2 linked regions of the Arabidopsis thaliana genome follow. The protein of the gene in region 1 interacts with the protein of each later gene in a pairwise test. Each region holds a gene or a part of one and is shown on either strand. Other genes may lie near its edges. The genes, in order: AT3G61340 and ABCC5.

Region 1 (4,264 bases):
TAGTATGTTCATTCGTATAACTCTTTTTATCACCCAATTTTGAGATTTTGAATTGGGGGTTGTTGTTTATGAATCAGGAAGACAATAATTTGTGTGATTCAGACAAGCTTGTGAATTTACATGAACAACAGAAACAGCATATGTTGTTTACAAGGACGAAGAATTTTGAGCCAAGAGAAAAGTAGAGAGAGCTAGACATTATATGGCTACAGATTTACAGCTAATAACATCTATATCATCATCCCAAGTCTTTGGTATAGAAGAACACACCATTACTCCATTCATCTTATTCTTCCTCACATTCTCAACATCAATTACCACAGTAGAGCAATCCTTACCAATCACAAAGATACTATTCCCAATAGATACAAGCCGACAAGGCTGCTTCATCACCAATTGAGATAGCTTCCCGATATGAATCCACATTCTCGTATCCTTGCACCACATTGTTAGCTTAGCTCCAAAAGTCTGATCCAAAACATAGAGATCACCTGCCACAACAACTGCTGGACCTCGCCATCCTGATGCCATATCATCATCCATACGTTCCCAAATCCCGCTAGATGCACTATAGACTGCAGTGGAAGATCCTCCAACACCACCCCGAATATAAATCCTTCCATCCATTACAAATGAATCTTCCATTTCAGGGACAATATTCACATCAGAACAAGATTTGCAGGTTCTGGTCAAAGGATCATAGATGTCCCAAGTTCGTTTAGCGTTTGGATTCAATCCTAACCCACCAATTGCAATAATTTTTCCATCCAGCGTTTCACAAGCAAAGTAGCATCTGCATATGCAATCGAAATATCAAGGGCTGGAAAGAACAATATCGAGCTGGTTGCTGCTAATGGCAAGATTAAGAATCCTGAGAAATATTAGTACCTTTTAGTTGAAAGAGGAGGTACTACGTCAAACCAAGTGTTCATAGCAGCATCATAGCAATAAATCTCATCAGTAGCATCTTCTAACCAACCACATCCACCCAACACAAACAGTCTCTTACCCAATACTGCAAAACCCATGCCTTCTCTCATTGGGATATATGGATAATCATTGATTCTTTTCCATGACCTTCTGGACGAGAACGGATTCAGCATGTGTAAGAAGACACCGCCAGATATGTCGCGGCACAACGCGTAAATCCAAGATTCAGCCAAGTTAAACTCGTTTCGATAGTCGCACATTTCATCACTGCACACAAAATCTCTCCATCTCCTTGAAACACATTTCATTGCCATGTGATATTCTCTTGGAACTCTAGCTAAGCAGGATTTTGAGATATCATCAGGAACTCCGCTTATAAGTGCAATTTGTGTCTCATTTGATTGACCTGCACGTTGTGGATCCTCTACTATACACGCCATTGTGAATTGATTCTACAAAATCCTGTTCATGACCAAAAGAGAGACAAACACTGGCTCAGATATGGCTAATCCCTATACTAACTTAAAGTAGCAATTCACATAAGTGGCCTTTGTGATCAAGAGCAGCATTAATCAAGATATTTGAAGATAAACAAGAGCATTGCCATAACAACAAATCAAACATTCAAAGATGAAGAAACAGATCGAATTCCAACAAGTACAGATCCAATGTCAAACCAAATTATTTAACTCTCACAGTCCACTGATCAAACCCGTCAGCAATTACATCAAATCCACTACACATACAATCAGATCTACAACTCCAGCAATAAATAAATAAATAAAATCAGAATCGAAACAGATCTTAAATCGTCTCAGAAGAAACGAGACTGAGGAAAAAGTAAGAAATAAGATGAGAAATTGAGAGGAATCTAGAAGAAGTTACCTTCAGGGCACGTCGCAAGGAACAGTAGAGTATATTCCGTTTGTGAGCTTCCCGGCGAAGAAGAAGACGATCACTTTCTTCTAAGAAACCACAACGGCATCGTTTTGAATCGTCAGCTCATTTTTTAATTATTTTGCAGCCATACCCTCATACTATTAATTTTATACATGTAGGCATTTATATTCTCATTTAAATCAGAAAGACCCAGGATCTTGAGAGACACGTTTTAAGCGTTATGATTATTATTAGGTTTAATCAGACGGAAGGGAGAAAAAAAGTCATTAGGGTTTTAAGAGAAGCCGCCTCCACCATGATGACACGGCGCAAGAAACGATCTTGTTCGAATCAAAAGAAAGAAGAAGAGAAATCCGAACGGATCCCGTTCGATCTCGTAATCGAGATACTCTTGAGATTGCCTGTCAAGTCTATAGCTAGATTTCGTTACGTATCGAAGCTATGGCAGTCCACATTGCGAGGTCAGCATTTCACCGAGTCCTACTTGACCATATCTTCGTCTCGTCCGAAGATCTTGTTTACATGCCTAAAAGACTGCGAAACGTTCTTCTTCTCATCACCACATCCTCAAGATCTGTCTCCTATAGCCGCAAATTTGCATATGAGTTTCCCGATTAGCTGTCCCTCTAATATTTGTCGTCCTGTTCGTGGCTGGTTATGTGGTTTACATCAACGAACTACAAAGGGAACGACGGTTACTGAGCCATTGATATGTAACCCTAGCACAGGGGAATCCGTGGTCTTACGTAAAGTGAAAACAAGGAGGAAAGGAGTGATAAGCTTTTTGGGGTTTGATCCGATCGACAAAAATTTCAAAGTATTATGCATGACGCGTTCATGTATAGGACGAGCTGATTCTGAAGAGCATCAAGTTCACACGTTAGAAACCGGGAAGAAACCGTCAAGGAAAATGATCGAATGTGACATACTACATTATCCTGTTCCTGTGGAGCATACTAATGGCTTTTCTCAATATGATGGGGTATGCATCAATGGTGTTTTGTATTACTTAGCCATTGTCCATGGTGTTTCTGACGACAGGTATCCTGATGTAGTATGCTTTGAGTTTGGATCTGACAAATTCAAATATATCAAGAAAGTTGCTGGTCATGACATGGAAATATTGTACTTGGGAAGGCGGCTGAATTCAATTCTAGTAAACTACAAGGGTAAATTAGCTAAGCTTCAGCCCAACATGCCTAACAACGTATGCACCGGTATTCAACTATGGGTTCTTGAAGACGCGGAGAAACACGAATGGTCAAGTCATATCTACGTTTTGCCTCCTCCGTGGAGGAATGTATATGAAGAGACCAAGTTATGTTTCGTTGGAACGACTCGTAAAGGTGAAATTGTGTTGTCCCCAAACACTATATCCGACTTTTTCTACCTTCTCTATTACAATCCCGATAGGAACACTATCACTATAGTTAAAATCAAAGGAATGGAAACTTTTCAGAGTCACAAAGCTTACACCTTTCTTGACCATTTAGAGGATGTTAACCTTGTACCCATTTGGAGGATGTGAAGCTTGTGTCAAAGTTTTCAGGATTTTGGGCTCGTATAACATAGCCCGTTTATTATTTTCTCAGATTACTTTTATGTTCTAGTGATGGTATTCGTCTTTTATTTCATACACTTGTAAGACATGGTTGTTTTAAGCTCAAATACTTTGCTATTTATAAAATTTCACGAGCAATCAGACTTTGGGAATTGTGTCTGATATTTAATAAGCAAACTACAATAGAGCTAACGAATTTGTACCACCCCTCAAAACCCTAGTTTATTTATATCCTTTTTAATTTTTGGTAATATGAGTTCTATATAAGATTTTTGGTAATTTTTAGTTTCCGAGATTGTAGATGAATAATAGACATACACTTCTGAGTCATGGTTGCTTTTGGCTCAAGTTTTGTAGCTTTTTAAAACTCTTCTTTTCATGAGCAGTTTTGCCAATTATCTTAGATGAGTTTCATATTCTTATTCATTTAGGTGCAATAACAACATTACAACAAGGCTAAAGAATTAGTTTCAAGAGATAGTAAATGGATTCTAAATAAAGCAAATATGGTATAACTGGCTTCCTGACCCAAACTATGACTTATGTAAAAGTGTAAAAAGTTGAATCTGCATATTATATATACAACATAAACATATACAAAAGGAAGATATACAAACGTTTACCTATCAACTGGTATAAAGTGTTGTATCTTCTATACGATGTTGAAAGTTAAACTTGATTTTGAATCAAGTTTAATTATTGGATCAATTATCCAATAATTAATTATGGCCAAATCCAAGTTCTAGAGTTTTCTCTAGAAATATCATCATTTCCACCTCCTTAAAAGATTCTAGAAATTTTCTAGAATCATCTTCCACCTCCTTAAACATAAAAATCTAGATACTCTAATAGAATAATCTAGATAATTTGAAT
Region 2 (8,006 bases), on another chromosome or scaffold:
TAGTATTGAATTCACATTCACCAATCACCAATCACCTTACCAAAATAGTGCGATAGGAATTAAATTGTGTTTGGCTTGGTATTTGTTAAATCATCAATAGACAATAATAGTTTGATAAGACTTACAACAACTGAATATTTATAACTCGCAATTAGCCCTGTTAACATTCCAGGCAGTGCCTGCGTTTAAGCAACAATACAGAGGCTTCTTTTAGGTCATATGTCAACACCTAAAACAAATAGATAACATGTGAGAGAAATGTGTTAGGTATATTACACTATGATTAGTTCTTTTGTTAAAGGACCACGCACCACTATCATTATCCACGTTACACACGGTTTGAACTTAAAGAAGATCGCATGTTCCACTATCTTTTTTGTTGTTGTTTGTCCTCCTCAATTGAACAATTTGCATACGTAAGCGACATTTGGTTCATATACAGTGTTCATGAACTGAGCAACATATATACTGTTTTTTTTTCATCTAAGAAAAGCTACCTTTTTGAAATTTGTATTTATGCAAACGAAAGATAATGGAAAGTGAGCTGGCATGGACCGAAAGTGGTACAAAAAAAGTTTGAACAAAGCCATTACTATACCAAACAAACGCAAATGACAAAAACTACGCAGCATTAACAACTATATTACAATTGTCATTATTTATGTATAACATTATAATACACTATCAAGGCTTCTAGATTGTTACATCATCTCCTTAATTCTTCCAAGTTACATCATCATATATAGTTGAAATTAATTTCTATTATTCGTGAGAATATAAGTTGATTGGAAGAAGGAAGATTCAGTCTATATATATATTTGAAATACTATATGTGGAAGAACGTAGAATTCCCTATTGCGAACTAGAAATGTGTTGACGTACCGTGTATAACCAAATGTAATATATTAATCAAAGGACATATTAACGTACACATTTTTTACTGCATAGTCAGCAATAATTGACATTTAATCATACATGTATTAGAAAATGGTATGCCACGTAAGACGCATTACCTTGCATGAATGGCATGTGTAGTAAGTCGTCATCCGCATATTGTCCAAACAAACAAACAAATAAACACATACGGGCAAGAATTAAAAAAAAATCATCTTTTGTTGGTCTTATATAGTTGCTTATCTGAATAGTCTCACACTCTCTCACTTGAGAGCAAGAGTGCATGTAATTATACTATAGTATTAGTACATACGAACAATTTGGTGGTGAGTATAAGTTTGGATCTTTGGACTATATATAAAGTCATTAATTTCATACTCTTACGCTATTCTTTTATATCTTTTAATCAAGTTGACACATTTGTCTCATTGTTTTGGTGCAGAGATGATAGATTGGTTTTCTTTCTTTTATATATATGTATTGAAACGATAACGTGTATGTCTCCACTTTCTACAAATGAATTTTAAAAAGCTCAATGTGTATACATAGGAATTGATAAACCAGTGATTATATAGTATTTTGTAATATACTGACACCTATACAGTTTTATTTTAGTAATATTTGTAGCCTTGTAGACAATACATAATACTCATCACGTCACGTGTAGAATATTCCATGGACCGTATAAGGTTCCTCCTCCATTGTATCCCACAATTAATTAGACACAGCTTAGATTAGCAAAATGGTAATTTCTTTCGTTTGAGTTATGATTGGCGATTTCGTATAAAACGAATCGAGAGAATAAAAACGTAAAAGAATCGGAATATGATTCATTGCTTACCATGGTTAAGTTTAATGATAAGTGCTTTTATTGATAACATATATGGTCAAATAATACAATAATTTGATCATAAAGAGTAAAGACAATTGAAAAATGAAATCACCAAAAAAGTCAGATCACATACAGACACATTGACGCATCGACGTCAAGCATCGTGAGCGCACAAAGAGCTTACGGCTTTATTATTAACACACACACTAAGCAAAACAGTAAGTCCACGAGAAAGCATCCAAAAAGCCCAAAGGAACCACCTTTATTTTTTATTTTATTTTAGGCAAAGGAAGCTCCTTTATTAAATTCCCAATCTTCTTCCACTACTTTGCACAATCTTTAATCGATCCAACCAATAAATTTTGCATTTTTTTTCGTTGGCGAATGAAGGATTAGAGAGAAACAGAAGAAATTGTTAATTTTTTTCTTGTTGATTTTAATTAAAGAGAAGAGAGATCTCTCTTCTCGATTGCTCTCAAGAACCCAAGTGACGTCTGGTTTCAGCTGATTTGTTTCTTCTCATTCTCTATCTTCTTCTCTGGGAAATATCGATTTTGATCTATTAAGAGCTGGTGAGAGCCAAAGTTTCCTTTTTGTTTGTTTGTTTGTTTGTTTGTTGTTTGTATTTTTGTATCTCTGTGATCGCTTCTACGTGTTGGGTCATGCAGAGAAACTCATTTTGTTTTGATTTGCAATGTGTCAATTCCACTTTGAAATATAAGATTCATCGCCTCTCTCTCCTTTGTTTTTTTTCTTCTTCTGCAGCTACGAGCTTTGGGATGTGGTGAGATGCTTGTTCTATCTCGAACAATCCGCCGGTTGTTGATTTTAAACAAACTCTCTATCACAAATCTTTCCCGATCATGGATTTTATTGAGATCTCGTTGATCTTTCGAGAGCATTTGCCACTACTGGAACTATGTTCGGTCATCATCAACCTCCTACTCTTTCTTGTCTTTCTATTTGCTGTCTCCGCGAGGCAGATTCTCGTCTGCGTGAGAAGAGGCAGAGATAGGCTCTCTAAGGACGATACGGTTTCAGCTTCTAATCTTAGCTTGGAAAGAGAGGTTAACCATGTTAGTGTTGGGTTTGGGTTTAATCTGTCTTTGCTCTGTTGCTTATATGTGTTAGGCGTCCAAGTTTTGGTGTTAGTATATGATGGGGTTAAGGTTAGAAGAGAAGTCAGTGACTGGTTTGTTCTTTGCTTTCCAGCTTCTCAGAGTTTAGCTTGGTTTGTCCTTAGCTTCTTAGTTCTTCATTTGAAATACAAGTCTTCAGAGAAGCTACCCTTCTTGGTGAGGATATGGTGGTTCCTGGCGTTTTCGATTTGCCTCTGTACTATGTATGTCGATGGAAGAAGGCTAGCCATTGAAGGTTGGAGCAGATGTTCTTCTCATGTTGTCGCCAATTTAGCTGTTACACCTGCTCTTGGGTTTCTCTGCTTTCTGGCCTGGAGAGGCGTTTCTGGTATTCAAGTTACCAGAAGCTCCTCTGATCTTCAAGAGCCTTTGCTTGTTGAAGAAGAGGCAGCTTGTCTTAAAGTTACTCCATATAGTACTGCTGGGCTAGTTAGCCTTATTACGCTTTCATGGTTGGATCCACTTCTCTCGGCTGGTTCAAAAAGACCGCTTGAGCTTAAGGATATACCGCTTCTTGCACCAAGAGATAGAGCCAAATCAAGTTACAAGGTCTTGAAGTCGAATTGGAAGAGATGCAAGTCCGAGAATCCTTCAAAGCCTCCTTCTTTAGCTCGTGCAATTATGAAATCATTTTGGAAAGAAGCTGCTTGCAATGCCGTATTTGCTGGGTTGAATACTCTTGTGTCCTATGTCGGTCCTTACTTGATCAGCTACTTTGTTGATTATCTTGGAGGGAAGGAGATTTTCCCTCATGAAGGATACGTACTCGCTGGGATATTCTTTACGTCCAAGCTTATAGAGACAGTCACCACCCGCCAGTGGTATATGGGTGTTGATATCCTAGGGATGCATGTTAGATCAGCTCTTACAGCAATGGTATACCGAAAAGGTCTCAAACTTTCAAGTATAGCCAAGCAGAACCACACGAGCGGTGAAATTGTAAACTACATGGCAGTCGATGTCCAGCGCATAGGAGATTACTCATGGTATCTTCATGATATTTGGATGCTTCCGATGCAAATAGTTCTTGCTCTTGCAATCCTATATAAAAGCGTGGGCATAGCTGCTGTAGCTACATTGGTTGCTACAATAATCTCGATTCTTGTCACGATTCCACTCGCTAAGGTCCAGGAAGACTATCAAGATAAGTTGATGACTGCGAAAGATGAAAGAATGAGGAAAACCTCAGAGTGTCTTAGGAACATGAGAGTTCTGAAATTGCAGGCATGGGAAGATCGTTATAGAGTGAGATTGGAAGAAATGAGGGAAGAGGAGTATGGTTGGCTTCGCAAAGCCTTATATTCTCAGGCTTTTGTTACTTTTATCTTTTGGAGTTCCCCCATTTTTGTCGCCGCAGTTACATTCGCTACTTCGATATTTCTAGGCACTCAACTTACCGCTGGAGGTGTTCTTTCTGCTCTGGCGACATTCAGAATTCTTCAGGAGCCACTTCGGAACTTTCCTGATCTGGTTTCAATGATGGCTCAGACAAAGGTTTCTCTTGATAGGATTTCTGGGTTCTTGCAGGAGGAAGAACTTCAAGAAGATGCAACTGTTGTTATTCCACGGGGACTTTCGAATATAGCCATAGAGATTAAAGATGGTGTGTTTTGTTGGGACCCTTTTTCTTCAAGGCCGACATTATCTGGGATTCAGATGAAAGTGGAGAAGGGTATGCGTGTGGCTGTCTGTGGCACAGTTGGCTCTGGAAAATCAAGTTTTATCTCTTGCATCCTAGGGGAAATCCCAAAAATCTCTGGCGAAGTAAGTTAATGTTTTGGGGTGTTTGTCTCAATTGCTTCACTATTTTTTCTTTTCTTTTCTTATATTCACTTAGCTATCATTGATCCAACTGCTGATAATTGTTATATAGGTTAGAATATGTGGTACTACTGGTTATGTGTCTCAATCGGCTTGGATTCAGTCTGGTAACATTGAAGAAAACATTCTATTTGGCAGTCCAATGGAGAAAACAAAGTACAAGAATGTGATACAAGCATGTTCCCTAAAGAAAGATATAGAGCTTTTCTCACATGGGGACCAAACTATTATCGGGGAGAGAGGTATAAATCTCAGCGGAGGTCAGAAACAGCGTGTACAACTTGCAAGGGCATTATATCAAGATGCTGACATTTATTTACTAGACGACCCTTTTAGTGCTCTTGATGCACACACTGGCTCTGATTTGTTTAGGGTAAGAAGCTATTCAAGTCATGTTTTCATATTTTGAGTTTGAACGTTTGCGTAACACGGTTATTAATGGCTATACAGGATTATATTCTATCTGCATTGGCTGAGAAAACTGTGGTTTTTGTAACGCATCAAGTTGAGTTTCTCCCTGCAGCTGATCTAATATTGGTAAGAAACTCTTTTTTCTCGGTTTTACTACACATTAATTCTGGCTACTGTTGGTCCTTTTAGAATTGCTAAAGGGTCTCTTTTAGGTGTTTAGCTTACCAGCCTGTGATGAACTTATCTCTATTGTTGCAGAAAGGTAAAATTGTTGAAGGAGTTTCCAAACTGTTTCCGTTATGATAAGCTCTGAAATATTTATTTGTGTTGTTTCAAAGGTTCTGAAGGAAGGCAGGATTATTCAATCGGGTAAATATGATGATCTGCTGCAAGCAGGTACTGATTTTAAGGCCTTAGTGTCTGCCCACCATGAAGCAATCGAGGCAATGGACATCCCAAGTCCCTCCTCAGAAGACTCTGATGAAAATCCTATTCGCGATAGTTTGGTCTTGCATAATCCAAAGTCTGATGTTTTTGAAAATGACATCGAGACTTTGGCAAAGGAAGTACAAGAGGGAGGATCTGCTTCAGATCTAAAGGCAATCAAAGAGAAGAAGAAGAAAGCTAAGCGTTCCCGCAAAAAGCAGCTTGTTCAAGAAGAGGAACGAGTAAAGGGAAAAGTCAGCATGAAGGTGTACTTGTCATACATGGGTGCTGCATATAAAGGGGCTCTGATTCCTCTTATTATACTCGCACAAGCTGCTTTCCAATTTCTTCAGATTGCTAGTAATTGGTGGATGGCTTGGGCAAATCCTCAAACTGAAGGTGACGAATCTAAAGTGGATCCTACTCTGCTTCTCATCGTTTATACGGCTTTAGCTTTCGGGAGCTCTGTGTTCATATTTGTTCGAGCTGCTCTGGTTGCAACTTTTGGTCTTGCAGCTGCACAGAAACTGTTCTTAAATATGCTCAGAAGTGTGTTCCGAGCGCCAATGTCATTCTTTGATTCCACTCCTGCAGGAAGAATTTTGAATCGGGTATGTAGATGTGGTATTATAACCAAATTCCACAGTTTCTGTGTTACTTTTCTGATTTTGGGGATTTTATTGATGTGCAGGTTTCTATTGATCAAAGTGTTGTAGATCTTGACATTCCTTTTAGACTCGGTGGGTTTGCTTCAACAACAATACAACTCTGTGGCATTGTCGCTGTAATGACCAATGTTACCTGGCAAGTTTTCCTTCTTGTTGTTCCGGTAGCTGTTGCTTGCTTTTGGATGCAGGTAAATCTATTTTCGATTTTTCCTCTGAATAACTGTGAAAGATTGTTTTCGTAATTTAGTTTATATTGAAATAAAATGCAGAAATATTACATGGCTTCTTCAAGAGAATTGGTTCGGATAGTTAGTATCCAGAAGTCTCCAATAATTCATCTTTTTGGAGAATCAATTGCTGGTGCTGCCACAATAAGAGGATTTGGCCAGGAAAAAAGATTTATCAAAAGGAATCTTTATCTTCTAGATTGTTTTGTTCGACCTTTCTTCTGCAGTATCGCTGCTATCGAATGGCTTTGTTTACGCATGGAATTACTTTCCACACTTGTATTTGCTTTCTGTATGGTTTTACTCGTCAGTTTTCCACATGGAACCATTGATCCAAGTAAGTATCTCTAGTTACTATAACAAAAAAAGCATCAACGAGCAGCCGGTTTTTCTAATATTGATGTTCCTGTTGTAATAGGCATGGCAGGTCTTGCTGTGACATATGGACTTAACTTGAATGGACGTCTATCACGATGGATACTTAGCTTTTGTAAGCTTGAAAACAAAATAATCTCAATCGAAAGGATTTATCAGTACAGTCAGATTGTAGGAGAGGCCCCAGCAATTATAGAAGATTTCCGCCCGCCTTCCTCGTGGCCTGCAACGGGAACAATTGAGCTAGTTGATGTTAAGGTACTATTCAAAAATACTATTTTTATTACCTCTCTGCACTTCCTTTCCCTGCTTTCTTATTGCTTCGTTCTTTTCGAAGGTTCGTTATGCTGAGAATCTTCCAACAGTACTCCATGGGGTGAGCTGTGTGTTTCCGGGTGGAAAAAAGATTGGGATTGTTGGGCGAACGGGAAGCGGAAAGTCGACTTTGATTCAAGCTTTGTTTCGATTGATTGAGCCAACTGCTGGAAAAATTACTATTGACAACATTGACATTTCTCAAATTGGTCTTCATGATCTTCGTAGTCGCCTTGGGATTATACCTCAAGATCCTACATTATTTGAAGGAACAATCCGAGCAAATCTTGACCCACTTGAAGAACATTCAGATGATAAAATCTGGGAGGTATCTATAAATATGTTGTTTGATACTCTTATCTTGTTTATGTTTTAGACACTAAACTCTGAGATTTGGAGTTTGATTCTAGAGATTTACCCAACTTTGCTGACAGGCGCTTGATAAATCCCAGCTTGGAGACGTTGTTAGAGGAAAAGACCTAAAACTTGACTCTCCAGGTAACTATTTACATCAAAAGTCCTCTCTTTTTCCCGGGTCTTTTTCGCTTCTTTCTACTGATTTTTTTGGCTCAAAACCGAGTAGTACTGGAAAATGGAGATAACTGGAGTGTAGGGCAGAGACAGCTTGTGTCACTTGGACGAGCATTACTGAAACAAGCCAAAATACTTGTTCTTGATGAAGCAACAGCATCGGTTGACACAGCAACAGACAATCTGATCCAGAAGATAATCAGAACAGAGTTTGAAGACTGCACGGTCTGCACCATTGCTCACCGGATACCAACTGTTATAGACAGTGACCTAGTTTTGGTTCTCAGCGACGGTTAGTCTCATACAAATTAAAAACATGGATCTTTCTTCATATTACTCGTCGTCTTTTGGGAGAATTCAATGTTTA

Evidence for each region.
Region 2: the proteins of AT3G61340 (region 1) and ABCC5 interact in a protein complementation assay, tested with the Arabidopsis thaliana proteins (one large-scale study listed by BioGRID).

The regions. Positions count from the first base shown.
Region 1 is NC_003074.8:22,700,309-22,704,572, reverse strand, and holds AT3G61340 (F-box and associated interaction domains-containing protein), read left to right. Parts: upstream 1-2,042; 5' UTR 2,043-2,050; coding exon 2,051-3,358; 3' UTR 3,359-3,539; downstream 3,540-4,264. Other genes in the region: SKIP4 (SKP1 interacting partner 4), read right to left, coding at 199-793, 889-1,370.
Region 2 is NC_003070.9:1,064,980-1,072,985, reverse strand, and holds the start of ABCC5 (multidrug resistance-associated protein 5), read left to right. Parts: upstream 1-1,905; 5' UTR 1,906-2,298; intron 2,299-2,491; 5' UTR 2,492-2,589; coding exon 2,590-4,629; intron 4,630-4,738; coding exon 4,739-5,059; intron 5,060-5,136; coding exon 5,137-5,223; intron 5,224-5,435; coding exon 5,436-6,134; intron 6,135-6,214; coding exon 6,215-6,379; intron 6,380-6,460; coding exon 6,461-6,755; intron 6,756-6,836; coding exon 6,837-7,051; intron 7,052-7,130; coding exon 7,131-7,436; intron 7,437-7,542; coding exon 7,543-7,606; intron 7,607-7,691; coding exon 7,692-7,931; intron 7,932-8,006. UniProt on the Arabidopsis thaliana protein: Pump for glutathione S-conjugates. Involved in regulation of K(+) and Na(+) cell content.